4 linked regions of the Caenorhabditis elegans genome follow. The protein of the gene in region 3 interacts with the protein of the main gene of each other region in a pairwise test. Each region holds a gene or a part of one and is shown on either strand. Other genes may lie near its edges.

The links.
Region 1: the proteins of rnf-1 (region 3) and T07D4.2 interact in a two-hybrid assay, tested with the Caenorhabditis elegans proteins (one large-scale study listed by BioGRID).
Region 2: the proteins of rnf-1 (region 3) and ndus-8 interact in a two-hybrid assay, tested with the Caenorhabditis elegans proteins (one large-scale study listed by BioGRID).
Region 4: the proteins of rnf-1 (region 3) and him-5 interact in a two-hybrid assay, tested with the Caenorhabditis elegans proteins (one large-scale study listed by BioGRID).

The regions. Positions count from the first base shown.
Region 1 is NC_003280.10:8,869,004-8,875,535, forward strand, and holds T07D4.2 (UPF0046 protein T07D4.2), read right to left. Parts: upstream 4,940-6,532; 5' UTR 4,938-4,939; coding exon 4,897-4,937; intron 4,831-4,896; coding exon 4,803-4,830; intron 4,396-4,802; coding exon 4,305-4,395; intron 4,069-4,304; coding exon 3,944-4,068; intron 2,952-3,943; exon of another isoform or gene 2,945-2,951; coding exon of another isoform or gene 2,780-2,944; intron 2,268-2,779; coding exon 1,931-2,267; intron 1,876-1,930; coding exon 1,787-1,875; intron 1,744-1,786; coding exon 1,667-1,743; intron 1,463-1,666; coding exon 1,347-1,462; intron 1,302-1,346; coding exon 1,117-1,301; intron 985-1,116; coding exon 883-984; 3' UTR 546-882; downstream 1-545.
Region 2 is NC_003281.10:7,232,412-7,236,198, reverse strand, and holds ndus-8 (putative NADH dehydrogenase [ubiquinone] iron-sulfur protein 8, mitochondrial), read left to right. Parts: upstream 1-1,996; 5' UTR 1,997-2,017; coding exon 2,018-2,077; intron 2,078-2,125; coding exon 2,126-2,270; intron 2,271-2,343; coding exon 2,344-2,431; intron 2,432-2,651; coding exon 2,652-2,997; 3' UTR 2,998-3,273; downstream 3,274-3,787. Other genes in the region: Double-stranded RNA-specific adenosine deaminase adr-2, read left to right, coding at 3,317-3,726, 3,780-3,787.
Region 3 is NC_003279.8:6,009,242-6,013,229, reverse strand, and holds rnf-1 (RING-type domain-containing protein), read left to right. Parts: upstream 1-1,643; 5' UTR 1,644-1,759; coding exon 1,760-1,766; intron 1,767-1,818; coding exon 1,819-1,892; intron 1,893-1,940; coding exon 1,941-2,115; intron 2,116-2,161; coding exon 2,162-2,353; intron 2,354-2,403; coding exon 2,404-2,546; intron 2,547-2,590; coding exon 2,591-2,707; intron 2,708-2,754; coding exon 2,755-2,838; intron 2,839-2,886; coding exon 2,887-2,973; intron 2,974-3,019; coding exon 3,020-3,121; intron 3,122-3,190; coding exon 3,191-3,355; 3' UTR 3,356-3,448; downstream 3,449-3,988. Other genes in the region: ints-1 (Integrator complex subunit 1 RPB2-binding domain-containing protein), read right to left, coding at 1-11, 237-601, 660-922, 977-1,172; C06A5.8 (RING-type domain-containing protein), read left to right, coding at 3,712-3,760, 3,810-3,889, 3,940-3,988.
Region 4 is NC_003283.11:14,088,419-14,092,995, reverse strand, and holds him-5 (High Incidence of Males (increased X chromosome loss)), read right to left. Parts: upstream 2,571-4,577; 5' UTR 2,116-2,570; coding exon 2,070-2,115; intron 1,886-2,069; coding exon 1,787-1,885; intron 1,700-1,786; coding exon 1,569-1,699; intron 1,524-1,568; coding exon 1,295-1,523; intron 1,246-1,294; coding exon 1,153-1,245; intron 927-1,152; coding exon 835-926; intron 739-834; coding exon 670-738; 3' UTR 542-669; downstream 1-541. Other genes in the region: D1086.3 (T20D4.11-like domain-containing protein), read right to left, coding at 1-113; D1086.5 (T20D4.11-like domain-containing protein), read left to right, coding at 2,699-2,830, 2,882-2,986, 3,506-3,682, 3,727-3,834, 3,890-4,045; D1086.19 (uncharacterized protein), read right to left, coding at 4,292-4,577.

The sequences.
Region 1 (6,532 bases), on a different chromosome or scaffold from region 3:
CTCACTATGAGTCATTTCTCATTTGTGATTCATTTCGGAAAAAATTGCCAAAGAATTTTCATTATTCCTAATGGATTGGTTCCTTTTTCTATTCTATCATATATTCTAGGTCAGAGATTAATTTCTACGTGCAACTGAATGTGGCGCTTGTTAGCTTTTGTGGTGATTTAAAACTAAAACCTATGTGTATTCTCAACTGACACGGTGGATACTGTCTGACGTAAGAAAAATATTGTATCTAAAAAATTACAGACTATATGAAACAACTCTGGGTGGAAATCATTCTGACTAGATTTCACCCTGTTTCAGATATTTCTGGTCTAGAAATAATGAATTTCAGTAAAATCGAAAAAAGTCTAATGTTGATGATATCTCTGAGAAAAGACATCGATGAATAACAAAAGAGATTTGTCTGTGTGGAGCAAGAAGCCGGCACTGCCGGAACCGCACCACACATGGCCAATATCTGATTTCAGAGGGCAAAAGAGGAGGTTGCAGCATAATTTGGTATTGAATTTCATAATGTTTGACTCGAAAGAGGCTCACAAATTGGAATGTTTTATTGCTGGTTAGCGGGAGCAATTTTGGTGAAAGAAGAAGAATTGGAAGACGAGAAGAAGCAGTTGCAGAAGCTGTCGCAGCAGAAGCACAATCAACCTTCTCTTGCTCTTTTTGTGGTGCTGTTGACTGCGCATCGAGTTCATAAAGACTCATTTCCGGATGGGATATTATTTTGTTCTTATGGGGTTGGAGGAGGGCTCAATGAGTGAGAAAAATAGATGATGATGGTCGTGGTGTGGAAAAAGAGCAAAAAAAATTAAAAAGTGGTGGTATAATTATAACTACAAAATGACACAGAGGTGACAGTGAGAGGAATTTAATTTATTTCTTCTTTTGGAATCTTTTATGAATTTTCTTCACATTTTGAATGTAGAATTGTTTGGTGTGAGGGTGCACTGGGATATCGAATATTACTGGCTCGTTCTGAAAATTTTTAACGATGAAATTGTCAAATTTAATAATCATGGATAGTCTAAATTTGTGTGCTGCTTGAATAAAGTCGTCCCAGAGTCATGCCCAATTTTTCTCAATAAGTCAAAATTCACGAATGATCACCTTTAAATCCAAATTTTCATTACACATGCAGCAGTTAATGAACTTTGTATATCCATCAGTTGTGCATCCGTAGCCCTCATGAATGTGTCCAAAAACGTGATACTTTGGTCGAACCCGCTTGAAAACTGTGTTCAACAACTCGGCACATCCCATTCTCTGTCCATTGTTCATCATATCGCCGTGTCCTGCACAAAATTTGTGTTTTACTATTTGTGGTACTTTGAACTTACCAAGTGGAGGTGTATGAGTTAAAAGCACGTCAACGCCCGCCGGGATCAGGTTCCATTTGTCCAATAGTTGTTGTCCACGAGAGAGATTGAATGCCCAATTGTCTACTTTTGGTTGCCTGCAATTTTTGAAATTGTGCTTTGATACAATGGGTTCAATATGGAACTCATAGAATTATGCTGTGAGAAAGAATATTCAATTCGAACTTATATTTTTTATTGATCTACAAAATATATAATGATAATACTTGTCGAAGGTGACAATTGTTTCAAATTTCGACTTGAATCTACCACAATTTTTTCAGAAAACTTGCAATCCTTACCATGGCGTTCCATAAATTGTGATTCCAAACAGTTCGATTACATTATCCTCCAAATAAATTGCATTTGATAACAAATCCTACAAAAAATTGTATACTTTCATAAATTGAAATCATGCTTACTTTCGCTGAAATTCCACCCTTTGAATCAGAATGAATTGCTGATAACAATGCTTGTTTCAGTGCCATTTCTTTTGGTTCAGACTCTTGTTCTGCAAATTTTGTTGTGGTGATTGATCGTTAATGGTTTATTGGAGTTGAACTTACTCAATTTCAAAAATGTGTCGTCAAATGTGCATTCGTGATTTCCACCTATCACCACTTTGTAAGAGTATTTCAGTTTTCCAAGTAACTTATTAAAATTGTGAACTTCATTTGGAAGACCGCATGATGTGAAGTCTCCAGCCACGAGGAGAACATCTCCAGGTGGGAGTTTTGATATATCAAATTGTTCTCCATGTGTACATCCAATACATACAAATCTCACATGATCTGGTTTTACTGGAGTATCAAGTCTCATCTGACGAACTGGTTTCACTGGTCTTTTTTCTTTCAGCATTTCCCATGCAAGTGTTGGATCTTCTGTGTATTGATGAAGAGATACCTGAAAATAAATGTATTGTTCTGAAGGAGAAGCTTGCGGAGCAATTAATTTCCCATTCATCTTGTTGTTAACGACATTAAACACATGGCTTGTGTGGCTGTTGTCAACCTTTGACCGGATATAACAATACAATTAAAATTTTCAAATTATTATACTGTGAAAATATAGCATTAAAAATAAACATTGCTATACATAGGGTTTAAAACACAAACTGGGCCAAACGGCATGCAAAAAACGTACCGGTCTTTTATGAATTTTAGTCTCTGAATACCAACTTTTTATAGAATCTTGAGATTTTCTGTGTATCCTTAGGAAATACATTGAAGTATTAGTGGTAGAACTAAATAAATCAGGAAATTGAGACTCAAGTTTTTTACTTCTTTTTTTCAATTTCTGTTCGTACTAATAACAAAATGGAAGCAATTTTTTGACAAATGTTGGCCCCCCATGTAATTTGTTGTTAACAAGCTTGAACTGACAACAGCTGGCGACTAAAGACTCTTTGAACTTACAGTTCTTAACTCTCGAACAAGTGATTCTCGTCGATTTGGAGATGTTCCACTTATAGGTCCACCAATCAGAGAAAGACGTCTCTGTCGGTTACGGTATTCATCTTTAATAGACTGATCCCCAAATATAGAAGTTGTTCCGAACCGATTGCTCGACTTGGAGAACATTTTCAGGCTGTGTGAACAATTGATAAGAAAGAAACAAATGAAGAAATAGAGCCGAAAAGATTGAATGGAGAAGTAAGATTCAAAAGATTTATGGCGAGTATCTGAAGTGTGTCAAAAACATTGACTGCACTCAAATGGTTTTCGATCTAACGATGAGGTCACGAGGTGACAGGAAATGGGATGGGAGGCCAAAAGTTGCAAACGAGACATCCGATATATGTATGTGCTGGTCACTTTTTGTTCCTTATCTTTTTGAAGGATACATCAAACTAAATGCAGAAGGATATTCAGTTACCCGTTCTTTTTCTGTTAATAGTTAGTTCTCTTTTCTTATTTTTTAAATATATGTATACTTGGGAAAGCAGTGGTTTTCGGCTGAAACTAGATTGGAAAGATTGGACGAATATGAAACTAACTGCCGGTCGCCTGGACAAGTTACCATAATACGAATGCTCTGCGAGTTTTTGAAATGTTTCAAAATACTGAAGGTTTGAGAGAAAGTCTGAAAGAATGGGAGCCGCGTTTTCTCATAATTTTTCACATTCAGAAAACTGTGAATAACCTCGAGCAACAATGGAAATCGAGCAAAATGTTTTCTTCAAAGGAAGAAAAATAAAAAATTACTGAGAAAATTTCGTAGTCAAAAAAATCCCCGAAAAGCAACTAAAAATTACGAAAAAAAAAGGTCGGTAACTCGGTAAAAATGAAACTGATAGGCTGGCACATCTCAGGGAAAGGTGAGAAAATGTTCGTCAGTGGATCATCTGATGAATAGTGAATCAAAGACGACCATCATCGGCTCTCAGATATCTTTTCTTTCTTTTTTTCGTTTAAATCAAAAAAGTAGAGACTCCAACGTCAGTTGGTATGCCGACTCAATATGAGATAGATTGTTTCTTCTTTTCATCAGATTGGTATCATGCTCGAACGCATTTATCATTTTATCTTTCATTTTGTTTTTCCAATTGTTGATGGGAGCTAACAACATAGAAAACCTACCGGATTTGACAGCTTCCGTCGGGTTTTTTTGTCCATTGGAATGCCAGATGCAATTGAACCGCGGCGACTTGGCGAAGCATTTCCGAGTTCAAAACTGTCGACGATTATTGAGCCGGAACTTCTTCCTGATAAAGATAGTTATGACAACTTAGAAATAGACGGAAGTATTCTTTTTTTTCTGAGAATCAATCTGAATTGTTCTCTGGTTTTTTTTATAAAGTTAATAACTTATTTTAAAAGAAGAACATTGAAGCTGCCATCGTGGTATTCACACGTTATTCAACCTTTACTACACATTTTGCTGTTTATTCTCATTTTTTACGAGAATCGGGAGAGAGGCAAAAAGAAATTATGAACTCACTTCTATCTCTGTTGAATCCAATCAATTCCTGATCTTCTATCATCGGCTGCAAATATGATGCAGCCCGGTTTCGCGAATGGAACATCATTTTCTGAAATAAATATATTATGTTAAAATATGAATGTTTTGAAGTGGAAGTATCATATAAATAGAGCAAATTATTATTTGTAGCTTCGAGGTTCGAGGACTACTACCAAAAATGTTAAGGAACTGAGACATAAATCTTTTACAAATACAGTTTTTAAACGGAATGGTGATACACTTTATCTATCAACTTCTGTTTGAGAATATAGCTCCATAAAATCAGGTTGTAGTGAAGAAAAAATCAGGACAAGTGACCAAAGCACGGGAATGGTTCTCAAAGGTACCCGCCAATGAAACCTTCCATCTTCTTCTTCCCTCCAGCATTTCCATCTTATCCATCTTAACCCCCTCCCCTTCTTCCTCTTTTTTCCATTTGATCAGAGTTCTATCCTTCTTCAATACCAATTGGCTCACCTCATCTTGTGGTACAGGAGCGGAGCTTCTGAAAACACAAAGATTGAAACATAAAACAAACAATGAGTGCAGCTACAAAAAATCATTGACGAACCTTCGATTGAGTGACACTTTGAGCAATGCAGGACTCAGCATTCCTGCAAAAATCTCGATGATTTTTTGGGTCGACAAGCAAGAAGAAACGACAACTTTTTGAGAAGTGACAAAGTGAAGTGAAGGATGACACGAAAGTTCGGGAATGTTCGGAATGAGATAAGATGTGTCTGGATCATGGAATTAGGTACTTAAACACGGACAAAGCAATTCAGCATTGAGTGCAGAATTTTCTTGAGCAAATGAGTAGTTTAATGAGATCAACTCTCATTTAAAGATGTGATTAAAAAGATCAAGGGTTTTTGTTGCAAAGAAGTGAGACATAGGATTCGTGACGTAGTTGAATATAGCTGTTGGCAATGACATAATTGGTAAAGTTTATACTAACAGAGCAAATAACATTTATCAAGATATTTAAAATACAGTAGACCGTGTTTTCTCAATAGAAACGCCACTCATACCTTGCACAAGTTTGGACCAGCTCTTGCTAATGTCGTATTGTTTTTCAAATCTTTATTGCGGTACAATGTATCTCGAGAGACGGCAAGGGTTGAGTGCCACCAGGTCACAAGCTGATAAGTGTGCAACTGAGAAAAAGTACAACATATGCCAAACGTATCACATAAATCACATAGAAATTATCTACTCACATGTTCTATTATGAGAAAATTAATGCAGTGGAATAGGAAAATATAAGTAAACTCTAAACTGTAGAAATAAAGTTTCTGAACACTTGGAAAAGGTTAAAAATTGGAGCCTAGTTTTTATTGAGATTTCATCCAAACTGTAGCGATTCAGAATATATTTTTGTATTGCCCTAGTATAAGTAAAGACTAATTACAAAAACTACTATAAGTATTTACAAATAGATACTGTTACGAAGGTCCAGTAGCCAATAATCTACCTCTAAACTCATTCAGAAGTTCTAATTGTTTTATTTTTAGTCATTCAATTGATCTTTCCATCATTATCTTATTAACTATTTCCATTTCTATTTCAAGTTATATGTAGTGATATGCGAATTATAAGTGAACAAATTCAAGCTAAAATTCTGAAAAAATATAATGCGAAACTAACGTAATACTAGTATCATAGAAATAAGAAAGCAAAGCTGAAAACATTGCAAAGAGTAAAGTGACTGGTTCTTCTTCTGCTTCTGTTTTTTGAACAGCTCATCAGGTGTTGATTTACTCACCACCAGTAGCAACCACTTTGTGCACACAATGGCTCCACCTTCATACCTTCCTCCCCCACCTCATCGTTCTCAGTCTCACCACAAAGACTTGTCATAACTCATCAATAAACTTTTTTAACACCCCACAACGGGTCACAATAAGGGATCAAAGTTGAGCCGAAGAGTCGACTGAAAGAGAAGAGTCTGGTGGAAAGAGATAATAATGATGAGTGGTGCACAAAAAACAGGGAAGATCTGATGAAGAAGGTCGATGTATTACGAGTGATGGATTAGGATTTGATGAGGGCGGATCGAGTTGTACTCTCAATTAATTTGTCGACATCAATCAATTTGAAATCTTGAACTTGATTGAATTGGTGGAGCTGGGAGATATTATTGAAGGGTACTTATGGTAAAAATTCAAAGATCCTTGACTAGTTTGTAGGTCACAAGATGCAATAGT
Region 2 (3,787 bases), on a different chromosome or scaffold from region 3:
TAGTTTTTCAAAAATTTTTTCGGTAATGGGCGACTTGCGTTATCGGTTGACAGAGGCTTCATTAGAATTTTTTAGTTGAAACCACACGGTCACTTATAGCCCCGAGGCTTTTCTTGTTCTACCCTGTACCACACGCAAAGCCCATAAATTCTGTAACTCAATTTCCTCCTTTTCTCGTACCTCATTTCTCTCGAACGGAGCTAGGAACAAGGGAAAACCTTTTCTCGGGGGAGCGCAGCGACCCGAGAATGGGATGTTTTCCCGTGACAGCGGAGTGAGAGAGACAGTAGCAAACTAAAGGCGCAGGCATTTTCCTCCGGCACGGGTCTCGCCGCGACAAGCGCCCCGCGGGCTCCGGCGCCTGTTTCTCCTCATTCTACGTGTGAGTTCCCGCCCGCCCACCCCTCGACTGATATTTTTGCTACTCTATATTCACTATTCTAGCGGCGGTTCTAACACCGAGCTATTGTGGGTAGGTTGACAAACACGAGGACAGGTAACTTATTCTTAAAATTCCGCAATTCCACCAGAGTAGACAGGCAGGATTCCTCCGAAATAATTGCAGGAGTAATCTGTCAGTCTTTTTTGGCGGTGGCAGGAAAGGTTTAAAAATTTTTTAATAGCGACCAAAAATTGATATCCCTAAAGGTTAATTTTGGCGATTTGCAGGCGTTGAAGGTTTACAGGAAATTCCCTAGAGGTATCAAGGGTGACATTGGAACGGCAGGGAAGGAATCCAGCGAGCCAACAAGAACAAGTTTTCAAGTTTCGGATAAGACCTGGATAAGGAAAGGATAACTAACGGAGTGGAGAAAACCGCGGTCGGCCACGAGTCGCGAGATTACTTCATAACAGACTACAGGTAGTTCTTTTTCGGGGTCTTTTAAATGGGAAACGGCCATAATCCCCAAACTATAAACTATCCTAATTAACATAATTTGTTTTCAGATCAGTTCGCCATTTTTAGGTATTCAGGAGACATAACGGAGAGCGGCAGTGAAAGATCTCGCGGGCTCTTGTCAAGGATTTAGGGAAATTTCGGATTGTTCGCACGTGGGTGGAACGCGAAAACAGAGGGTTGAGAAGCGACGATCCTTGTTTGGGCAGCAGACGAGCTTCAAGTATCAGATCTACAGGAGTTGCCAGGATTATCGATTCACGTTGGTTTACCATTTTACCTCTTTTGCCACCTTAACCAATAATAAGTACTTTCGGTCCGTCCTTTTTCGTTTTTGCAGCACGTACTTCAGCACAGTCGGCTCCATCAGCAACACCAGCAGCTCCTGCACAGTCAACATCATGTCGGCAACATCGAACGATCGGGCTCTTCACGACGGCGTCAGCACATTAAATTTCCCCAATTTATACCGTTCGTGGCCCTCATATCGTTCAAGTTGGGCGCCTGGCGCCCAACTGCCCCTAATTTTCTACTTTTGTCACGACCTGTACCACACGCAAAGCCCATAAATTCTGTAACTCAATTTCCTCCTTTTCTCGTACCTCATTTCTCTCGAACGGAGCTAGGAACAAGGGAAAACCTTTTCTCGGGGGAGCGCAGCGACCCGAGAATATATATTTATGAGAAGTAAATTGAGAAACAAATATTCGGAAGCAAACTTGAGAACAGTTTTCCTAATTTCTCAAGAAACAAAGCATTAAAGTAAAATTATTGTGACAATAAGCGTGCTTAGAAACACTAAACGATAAAATTATGTTATTTGACAAATATTTAAACATAATAACAATATAAAATATATAAATTGAAAGGCTAAAAGTATTTAAATAGATATTTGGGAATTAAACTTTGTTGGAACGCAGAAGTTGCGCCCTTGGTTCATCGTTGGCGCGTTTCTCGTGCACCTGCAGGACATGTTTGCGTCTTTCTCGCTTTTTTAATATTTTTTCGTGTTCAATTTTATATTTATCAATGTTTTTCTATTATAAACACTTCATTCCAATTAAATTAAATGTAGTCTATCAATAATACGTTTTTCAGTAACTTAACCACGCTGTCAAAATGGCGATGAAAAGTGTGGCAGTGCTCACAAAAGGCATGTTTGGAAGAATTCCGGCTCAAGTGAGATTTTCTCATTCAAATATACGTTTCAAATAATCAATTATTTAGCTTGCCGTCAGCAGTGTTCCTTCCAACACAATTCAAAAGAGATCCAACTACAAATTCGTTGGTATGCCCAATGAAACCGATGGAACACTGGCTGGAGATTTGAATTACGGGCTTCACAATGTTTTCTTCACCGAACTTTTCAGAGGTAATTTTAAACTAAATTTGAATCAAAATTATTTTGAAGTATACTGTGTGAAGGAAAAATGTCAATTTTTCAGGTTTCGGAGTGATGCTTGGTCACGTATTCATGGAGCCAGCTACTATCAACTATCCCTTCGAAAAGGGACCACTCAGTTCAAGATTCAGGTACAGAAATTAAAAATTGAAATTAAATCATAAAGCATTTGTTATAATCAGCTTGGAAGAAAATAAGCATATTTTGGTTGTATTTTAATAGTTTTCAAAAAACTGAACAAACTTGCACCTTCACACGACACATATTCGAAAATTCTTTAATTAAAAATATTAATTATTTAGTTAATTTAAAAAAAAACAAAAATTATTAACAAAAAAATCAGTATTTTAGAGGAGAACACGCTCTTCGTCGATACCCGTCTGGTGAAGAAAGATGCATTGCTTGCAAGCTTTGCGAAGCCATTTGCCCAGCTCAAGCTATCACGATCGAGGCCGAAACAAGACCTGACGGAAGTCGCCGTACCACTAGATACGATATCGATATGACCAAGTGCATCTATTGTGGATTATGCCAGGAAGCTTGCCCAGTCGATGCAATTGTCGAGGGCCCGAACTTCGAATATTCGACTGAAACTCACGAAGAACTCCTCTATAATAAGGAGAAGCTCTTGTTGAATGGTGATCGCTGGGAGCCTGAGCTCGCTTCCAATCTTCAAGCCGAATATCTTTATCGTTAAGATAATACGAATTGTGGGAAATGAGAAGAGAACATTTTAAAATACCTGATTTTTTCGTAGCTTTTTCGCTTTTCCGTTTTCTGTTGTCAGATGATTTATTTTTAATTTTGAGGTTTTAGTATTTGTTCCCCTTTTCTGATAACTTCCGAATTGTAGATGAAAAACAAAATATGTTATATACTTTTATGTTTTCTCTATGTTTTTCTTAAATATCGTTCACTAGTCGATGTTGCTCTATTGTTTTTTCGATATCTCAAGGTAAAACTGTTACACATTTCCTCATGTGGACTTTTTGTTCCAAAAATTATTCGTAATTCAGATGTCCGTCGAAGAAGGTATGGAAGTTGAGTTAAAGTCAGAGAAAATGGATTTGGATGACAATATTCCCGACTTTGTGAAGGAAACTGTGGAAAGAAGCGGAAAGAATCCAATGTCATTATTCTCAGAGCTTTATGTTCATATGACAGGCAACACTCCAGTTTTTGATTTCTATAACAGAAACCAACCGAACGGATCCATGAAATTTATATGTGTTGTAATTTTAAATGGAGAACGAATCGAGGGAAATGTAAAATCCAAAAAGAAAGAGGCAAAGGTGTCGTGCTCATTGAAAGGACTGGAAGTCGTGCTCAAGCATGTTAGCGAATACGTTGTGCCTGCTGTCAAATTTGAGGAGAAAACCACATTTTTCGAGATGCTCAGAGAACATACATACGCGAAATTTTATGAGTCAGTGGAAAAAATAATTCATAGTGAATGTATCCCTTTTATTATCATTTTAGACTTTGTA
Region 3 (3,988 bases):
TCGAGCGGGGACTGAAATCAAAAATGTATTAAAATTAAAATTTGACTTATTCTTTAAACTGTTTTTTTTATTTCCACTTTTCTAACACAGAATAAAAATTTCTTCTGAGATTTTGATAAACTTTAAATGCTTTTCAGCTAGTATTACACCGTTGTTTGTAGATGCTGCTTTTTGTTTCTGTTTAAATTAGGAAAAATATAAGCGAAATTTTTTCTAAAAAATCGTAAATTTATTACCTTTTTTCCCTCGACTTCCCCACTTTTTCAGAGAAGAAGCTCAAAAATTCGGAAATGGCAAAATTCTCAACCTGGCACTGCGCATACATTGCCGGAAATGGATAGACAGTTTCAAACGGATCCAAAATCATTTTCACAAGCTCTGCCGAGCACTCTTTTTCAATCCAGGAGCATCGATTCATTGTGCCGAGTCCAACGCTCATTCCAATAGAATCATGGAGAAATGCTGTTAGATAACATTTATCAAGAATTGGTTGTTGCCTTGCAAGTGAAGTGATTATTGAGATGAATAGTTCGAGAATATTGTCAGGATATGATCGAGAATTGCAAATTACGAAGAGCAGAGCGCGGTGGAGAGGAATTTGCTGAAAATTTTTCAATGATTAGAATTATTCTCCAAGTTTTTGTTAGATTTGAACCAACATTTAGCTTATCCCCATGATTTTTTACGGTTTCCGCAATTGTTCCCATTATTCTGAGCTCCACTTTCAACTTTTCTCCGACAAAGAAGCTCTTGAGCGCGGCGACGAACATTTTAGCGATTTTTGTAAAATGGCCCGCTAAAATCGCCTCCTGTACGCTTTTCTGGAAGGTTTCGATGTTTAAATTGATTGTATCTCCAAAATCTTTCCATTGATCATCGAGATTGGGGCGAACGAGATGGCTGGATTGTAGGGATGGATTTGCTGGAAATTTGTTTAATTATTAGGTGTTTTCTGGGAAAAATTGAAAATTTTTACCGGAATTACTTAGCGTTGGCTTTGGTGGAATACAAGTTTTTGATCTAAAATCCAACTTCGCTTTAACTCCTCCAGAAGTTGACGGTCCGCCAGTGCCTCCACTAGTCGTCGGGAGTTTATGGTTCAGTTTCGCCTTTTTCATGTCCTCCGGCTTCATAATCGTATCATTTAGGCGTTTGTGTTTTTTACGTTCCATTATTTATAAGATTCTAAACGAGAAACTCTTAAGATTTTCCGGAAAATAATGATAAAAACGGTTGTGAAATTGAATGAGAATAAAAAAACGAAACAAGCACGAGTGAGGCAGGTGCGCTCCAATGCGAATTTCTTTGCGCGGATGTTTAAATGGTTATTTTTTTATGGGAATCGACAAGTCACATGCTACGCTAGAGAGAGTTTTACATTTTACAGTCTTTTTGGAATTTAATAATATATATATTATCATAAAATCGAATAAAAATTGTTTCGAATAATGAATAGCTTTGTTTTTTCGTCTTGACTTCTGAAATAATTTTAAATTTGAGAAAAATTTGTGTCGCAATATATAATTATTAATATTATTAATAATGTAATTTTTTTATAATAAACTGATTTATATTTTAAAAACAAAAAAGGAATGACAATTCAGTTTAGTTTTATGAAAAACTTTGAAAAGACAAAAATAATTACAGTAAACGCGCTCCGCTAGACTCCCCAAATTTGTTTTTGTTTTCCAGGCTTGTGTCCAGGCAAATTCCAGCTTTCTTTTTGTTTCAGAATTTCTAGGTATTTATCTCCGTGAAAATGAGCGGTAAGATTGACAATCTCGAGTTTGTATTAAAATTTATTAAATTTCATTTCAGAAAAAAATACCGAAAATCCAGAAATTCTATCAACAGTCTTGGCTGGGTACTGCCAGTGCCAAGTCTGCTATCAGGTACTAATTTCCTAGTTTTACTCAATTTTCTACAAAATATGTTTGCAGCCTTTTAATGAAACCACAAAATTGGCTCGGTCCTTGCACTGTGGCCACACTTTCTGCACAGAATGCATCAGAAACGTGCAAAACTACGGTAATTCCCCACATTTAGAGTGCCCTACTTGCCGTGCGGAAACTAAAAGCAACATCGAAAATGTAGCACCAAATTTTTCAATTATGGGTAAGTTTTACCTCTTTTGAGTATTGAAATCCACGTTTTTTCTCAGAATTGGCAAGGAATTTCGGGCTTCTGGGTCCTCCAGTTGACGCTCCGCGAACTTCCTCTAGTTGCTGCTCAAATAAAACGAATAGAGATGAAATGATTGATAATAAATTCCGCGAGCTGCTTGTTGAAGTAAAAAGCAGTCTCATTCACCATTTTGACGTTTTCCGCATCAAATCACAGCTATGGAGTCTAGGCAAAGCCAAATGTGTATAAGTATTTTCTATAAAAACTGAATTTTTTCAGCAGAAGCCGAGCGAGAGGTCAGCAACATGGCTGAAGCCTTGGCAGGGGCTGTTTCTGAATGTTATTACGATTCTGACGACAATTCTGATGCGAATTCTGAGGATCAGCGAGTTCGAACTATGCTAAGGTTCTTGGCAGCAAGAGTTAGTTGATATTTTCCATGCTCCCTTGATTTGAAAATTTTCAGGACAGCGATTCTGAGACTACAGAAGACTCAACAGATTTTCTAGAATCAAATACTACTGTCCCGGACAGAACACTGGGTGGCGGTTTCTATCGCAATTTTCGTCGTCTTTTTGGAGACGTTAGTTTTCATCGAGTTAAACATTTAGAATAGAAAAAATCTTTCAGGAAAACGAACTAGATGATCCAGGTGTGGTTTCAGGTATTGAGGAGGCGGCCGCCTACCGACGTTTTCGAGGACTTTTTGGAAATGTAAGTGTCACTGTCGACAAGTTTATATTTTAGAAAAAATGTTTGCAGGACAACGACAGCATTTCGCAGGTTTCCACAACTTCCGGCAGTTTTGGGAATCATGAGAATGATCATTTTTGTCCGTTTTCCGATGACGTTAGTAGGACTTTGAATTCGATTGTTAATCTTTTTTCTAATTCAGGATAATATCTCCGAATGTTCCGATGACTACTATCCCACATTGGTTATGCCTGAAACAGATGAAGAGGAGACGTACAAAAGTTTTCGCTGCCTTTTTGGAGATGTATGTAAATTTATTGTCAGACGGCTATTTTTTAAACTAAAACAGCTGAAATTAAGAAAAAAATTCCAGGAAAACGGGAACCTCGACTTTTCCGACGACGAAAAAGAATTCTCCGACAATGAATCTTCACTCAGCTCAGTTTCCACTGAAGACTTTCCGAATTCGCACATAGAAGAAGCCGGCAGAGTTCTTCACAGATTTCTTCTGCTCTCTGCTCTTCTGAATGAAGAATAAATTACTATATAATTCAATTTTATCCCGTCTCCGCCTGAAATTTTTGTATTGTTTTACATGTTTTAATAGAGAAAATAAAGATCTCTTCTTGTTTTCCCCTGAAAAATCTGTGCGATTTCCTTTATTTTATTTTCGCTTTTGTTTCTCTTCAAAAGTGTTTTTTTTTCTCATTCAAAAATTCAGGACTTTCAAGGGAACCACATTTATTTGGAAAGGTCTCGCCGCGAAATCATAATTCAAACATGGTTGTTCATGTGCCTTTAAGATTACTGTAGAAAGTTTTGGAAGAAGTTTTGAATTTTTTTCTCCTTTCTTTCCCAAAAATCACCTACTTAATTTAGCATTTTCAGCCATAAATGTCCGCAACAAAAAGTGAAATGCCTGCGGATGTGGCATCTGTAACAGGTAATTTTTCGTTTTTATAAGATCTGGTTCCAAAATTCGAAAATTCCAGATAGTTCGGCTGCGTCGCCTGCATTCCCGCTGATAGGTGATTTTCTCGAGGAGTTTCTCAAATGCCAAGTCTGCTGCACTGTGAGTGCCCCACTTGTTTTATTGTTCAAAAATTAAACTTTCCAATTTAGAATTACAATGAGACGACAAAGCTGGCTCGTGGTTTGCATTGCGGACATA
Region 4 (4,577 bases), on a different chromosome or scaffold from region 3:
ATAACTCCACAGGATTTCAAATATCTGGCCACTTTTGATTCAGTATCCTTATCAGAACTGGCAGCCAACGCGGAACAAACTAAGAAAACTGATAAAATGATAATAGATTTCATGTTGTTTTCTCGTCGGTTTTTCTTTATCAGACACGTTGCTTTTATATACCAAGTTTAGAGGTCAATTGATATGAATTCAAATGAAAAAAAAACATATGAAAAAGGGTTGGGATCGGGATATTGTAGGTGTGTTTGTGATAAGGATGACGTTCCGAGACCAATTAATTCTACTTTCTGTTCGATTTGTAAACAACGAAATTCTCGTTATCTCGGATTCTGGAAATCTAACATTTACCCTGACCTCGAAAGGACAGGGTTCTCCAAAAATTGTTCACTGGGTCTTTTGCAAGGCCCTGAGAGCGTTTATAAATAGCGGCAATACCACTGACGAGAGGACAGTTATATGCCCGAGTGTCCGGACATCTCGAGGGTTCCGCTCGTCACTATGCTTTACGTGCAAACATGGCACTCGAGTCCCCTAGCCGCAATAAATAAATTTTTTTTTTTATTAACTTGAATATTTGATACAAACATAAACAAAATAAAATGGAACATGAGATCTTATTTTACAGATAATACTGGGGGGATATAAAAACTACTATTATTAAACCACGAATTATTGAGCGCGTTTTTTTGGAATGCGGAATGACCACCAGGCAGGTTTTTCGTGAGGAGTCGGAAAAATCTGAAATATTAACATTTTCATAAAGCTTTATTGATTTAATTTCCGTTGTATAAGGATATTAAAATTTGCAAAAAAAGTTGAAAAAATTCCACATACTTTCTGCTTCTTGCTTCCAGTGATTTCCTGTGACTGTTCAGTGTCCCTGTGTTTTGTTGGCGGTCTTCCACACATTCTACGTGCCGGATTATCTGGAACAAAAACAATTTATCTGAAAATCGGAAAACTAAACTCGATGAAGATTCGGCAGAAAAAAATTCGGAACTACAGTAATCTTTAAAGGCGCACACCCGTTAAACCTGTGCTTAAAACAAGTTTGTCGTGTCTAGACTAAATACCGTATTATTGTAGCCAAAATTGCAAAATTTCGCGAAATTAAATCGTGTCTTTCATTAATGTTGATGTGAGTTTACTTACCACACTGTGAAGTTGGACGATCACTGTTGACAATCACAGAATTTAAAAACTCTAAATCATCGTCGGTGCTTAAATCTTCGTATACTCCTGGTGCTGAAATTTGTAATATATTGGAAAATTGACTTCTCTTGGATTTCCGTACCAAATGCAACTGATTTTTTTGGTTTAGAAGCCACGCTGATTCCTGATCCACTTTTTTTGAGAATTCCAGAATTATTCGACGATTTCTCAATTTGGCAGTTCTTACTCGCATTTTTTTGAGTTTTCTTATTTCCCTTATTGCGTCTATCAGCTTCGTCATTGGAGTCGACAGATTTTTCTCTTTCTTTGGGCTTTGAGGAATACTTGGAGTTAGCTTTCCGGAGCTTTGCCTGGAAAATAATCAGTAAAATTCCATGTTTTTAAAAATTACTAACATAGAAAGGTTCCCTCTTTTTCAAATATTCTCGAAGATTCGAAAAAGCTTCATTCACTACTTCGTCTTGTTCTTTTTGTGGAAGACTCTTGAAACGTGCACCTACTGATCTCTCTGCATTGTCTCGAATTCCTGAAATTAACTATTTAGTTTTTTATTGGAAAACATTGATGTAAAAGCTTTCCTGCAGAAAAATACATAAAATATATTAAAACGAACTGTATCTCGGCAAAAAATATGGGCCATCGGCAATTTTTTTCGATGTATTTCTGTTCTGTGAACGACCGGCGATGCGACCAACTGTTTTTCGTTGTTCATCTGAAAAAAAATCCCAAAAAATGTTCATTTGTAATGTTTAACAATGAATTGGTGTTTATAGAGTTGTTTTCCTCAAAAATAAACATTTATTAAAGTTTTTTTAAATTGTTATTCCGCTTTTAGCATTGAAGCTACTGACGAATTCAAATTTAGCAAGATATAATAGATTAAAAAAATAAATTACCTGTTAATATTATAATATTGTCGTTATTAGAACGAATTCTGGACATTTTCAGCAAAAAAAACCAGATGATAAGTATGCTTTTTCGGGAGAAAAACAGTTTGCTTTATTAAGGTACGATCTTAAAGGCGCATATCGCAAAACGAGAAGATGGTATCGCAACGACTTGCTTTGTTTTGTAGAAACTTATCAGGCCTGGATTGGATTTAGGAAGTAGTTTTCGAATATTAAGACAGAAAGACTGTTTTTTAGACTTTCATTGTTTTAAACTTGCGGAAAGTTTTGAATTCTACACAAAATGAACTAATTTTGCAACAAAAATGGTGTCTTTTGGAAATGGTTCATTAATTACCGCGAATTTGCTCATATTTGAGGATTTTGTAAGAGAATAATTTTGAAAAAAAAACCGTAATTACTGAATATAACAGACTTTTCAGCTGAAAAAAAATTAATATTTGTACAGTTTCCATGTAATAAATGTAGTTAATCCACCAAATCGAACAACTAGACAAATGGCACCTGATTGCTTGCTGAGCAGCTGCCGCTGAAAACGTTTGACGTCACATCCACAATCTTAGTTCTCTCTACTTTGCTTCTAGCTTGTCTGCTGCTCTTTTCATTTTGAGCTCCGAATGTTAATCCAGAACATATTCCTCTTACTTTTTCCAATTTCAACTGTTTTTTCAAGTAATGGAGTGAACTATTTCAAGTCAGAATGTTCATTTTTTCCCGGACGTAGTAATATAAAGTATTGCAGGTTATTTGTAAGTTTTGATGGGTGTCTTTGGCTTTTTTAAATGCTGAATAATTTTAAGGAAGGTGCTAAATATTATTGGAGGCATAATTCAATTGCGTGGAATCCGGAACAGACCAAAAATATGAGTCTTGTTGAACTCAGAAAGCATTGTGATGATTATTTTGTAAGATTTGTTTGTAATACATATGGAAATACAGGCATGTAAAAGTATTCGCTAGATCTTGAGATCTCAGCTCACGATAAAATTTTCAAATAAGTGGGGTTTTGGATATTTTTTTGAATTTAAAAAACAATATTTTTCTAGCTCAGTGTGCTCCATTTCCGCTAAATAAAATTTATTTCGGTACTTCTGTATTATTTCCCCTCATTTTAATATTATCCATTTTAATAAAACGTGATGTCCATTTTCATTCTTTAGGCTTAGAAAGGGTTATTTCCTAAGCCTAAAAATACAAAAACACCACACGTTTTTATTTAAAAGTTTATTTTAAAAACTGAGGGGAAATAATACACAAGTACCTTTATTTCCAGATTTCCACTCAAAACACTTCCAAACAACCAAATTTCATAATAAGAGCTCTTAATAATCGTTCTAAAATGTTTTCAAGTGGTTCAAAATTTCAAATTTTAAAAAGTTAAATTTAGCTGAAATCTCATTTTGACATTTTCACAATGCCTTCAGGTTTGCATGGAAAATACGGGATGCTACATGGATTTTGTCAATTATCAGGAACTGGACAAGTGCATTGATGACGTATTTCATCTAGGACCAATGTATTATTGTGAGAAAACATTGAAGGAAGTTATTGAGAAAACCCCGGATCAAGTTTCTGAATGTGTTAAGGATTATCTCAAAAATGTACTCTTTAGCATTTTGCATTGATTCTGTAAGTTTAATTTCAGAAAAATCCGGACAAAGTCGACTGCGTGAGCATCCAGACAAAAAGTAAATGCTTTCTCGAAGATGTTGGGAAGCATTGTGGTTCTGATTTTTTGAGTCTGTACAAGCAGGTGAAAATTTGATTTTATTAATTTCTGCAGATCTCTTTAACTTATAATGCTACAGCACATAAATATTCGTCTCTACAATCGTGCTTGCGATGGACGTCTTCGATATAAAGATCGGGTTCGTGGAGATGATAATAGCATGCAAAGAGGGATAATTACAAAAGAAGATGTTGAAAGGGATTTCGGAAGTAATTCAACACAAATTTCGGCTTAATTTCAGTTCATTTTTTTCCGAATGGTTTTTTGGCACGTTTTAATAAAACAATTTGAAAAAATTTCGTGCTACATAGAATTCCATTAAACTTCAAGATGCTAGATTATTGAAAAAATATTTATGTATACCTAATTATATGTAGTTCCACGTTGTTGTTTTTTACAAAACTATTTGGAGTTATTAGATTTATTAAAGAAATGACACAGGCATTAAGAAAGAAACTATAGGATCACAGAAGCAAGAAATTTACTCTTTCTTGTCGGCTTTCTTTGTAACCTTGGAACTTGGCGCACTCTGTTCCTCATCGCGGGACAGTGTTGAGCTTTGACTATCACGTATCACGAAACTTCTCGATCTTTTTCTAGCAATCCTATTGTTCCGACAGTCGCGTAAGTGCCTTGTCAGTCGCTGAATAAAATAGTTCTGAAGAATTTCGCATCGAAAGTCGCGTTCTTTCATGTCGAGAAGCTTCCGGCGCTTTGAAACTGCCAGATTGAGCATTATTCTTGGGTGAACTTTCATCGAGGAATTC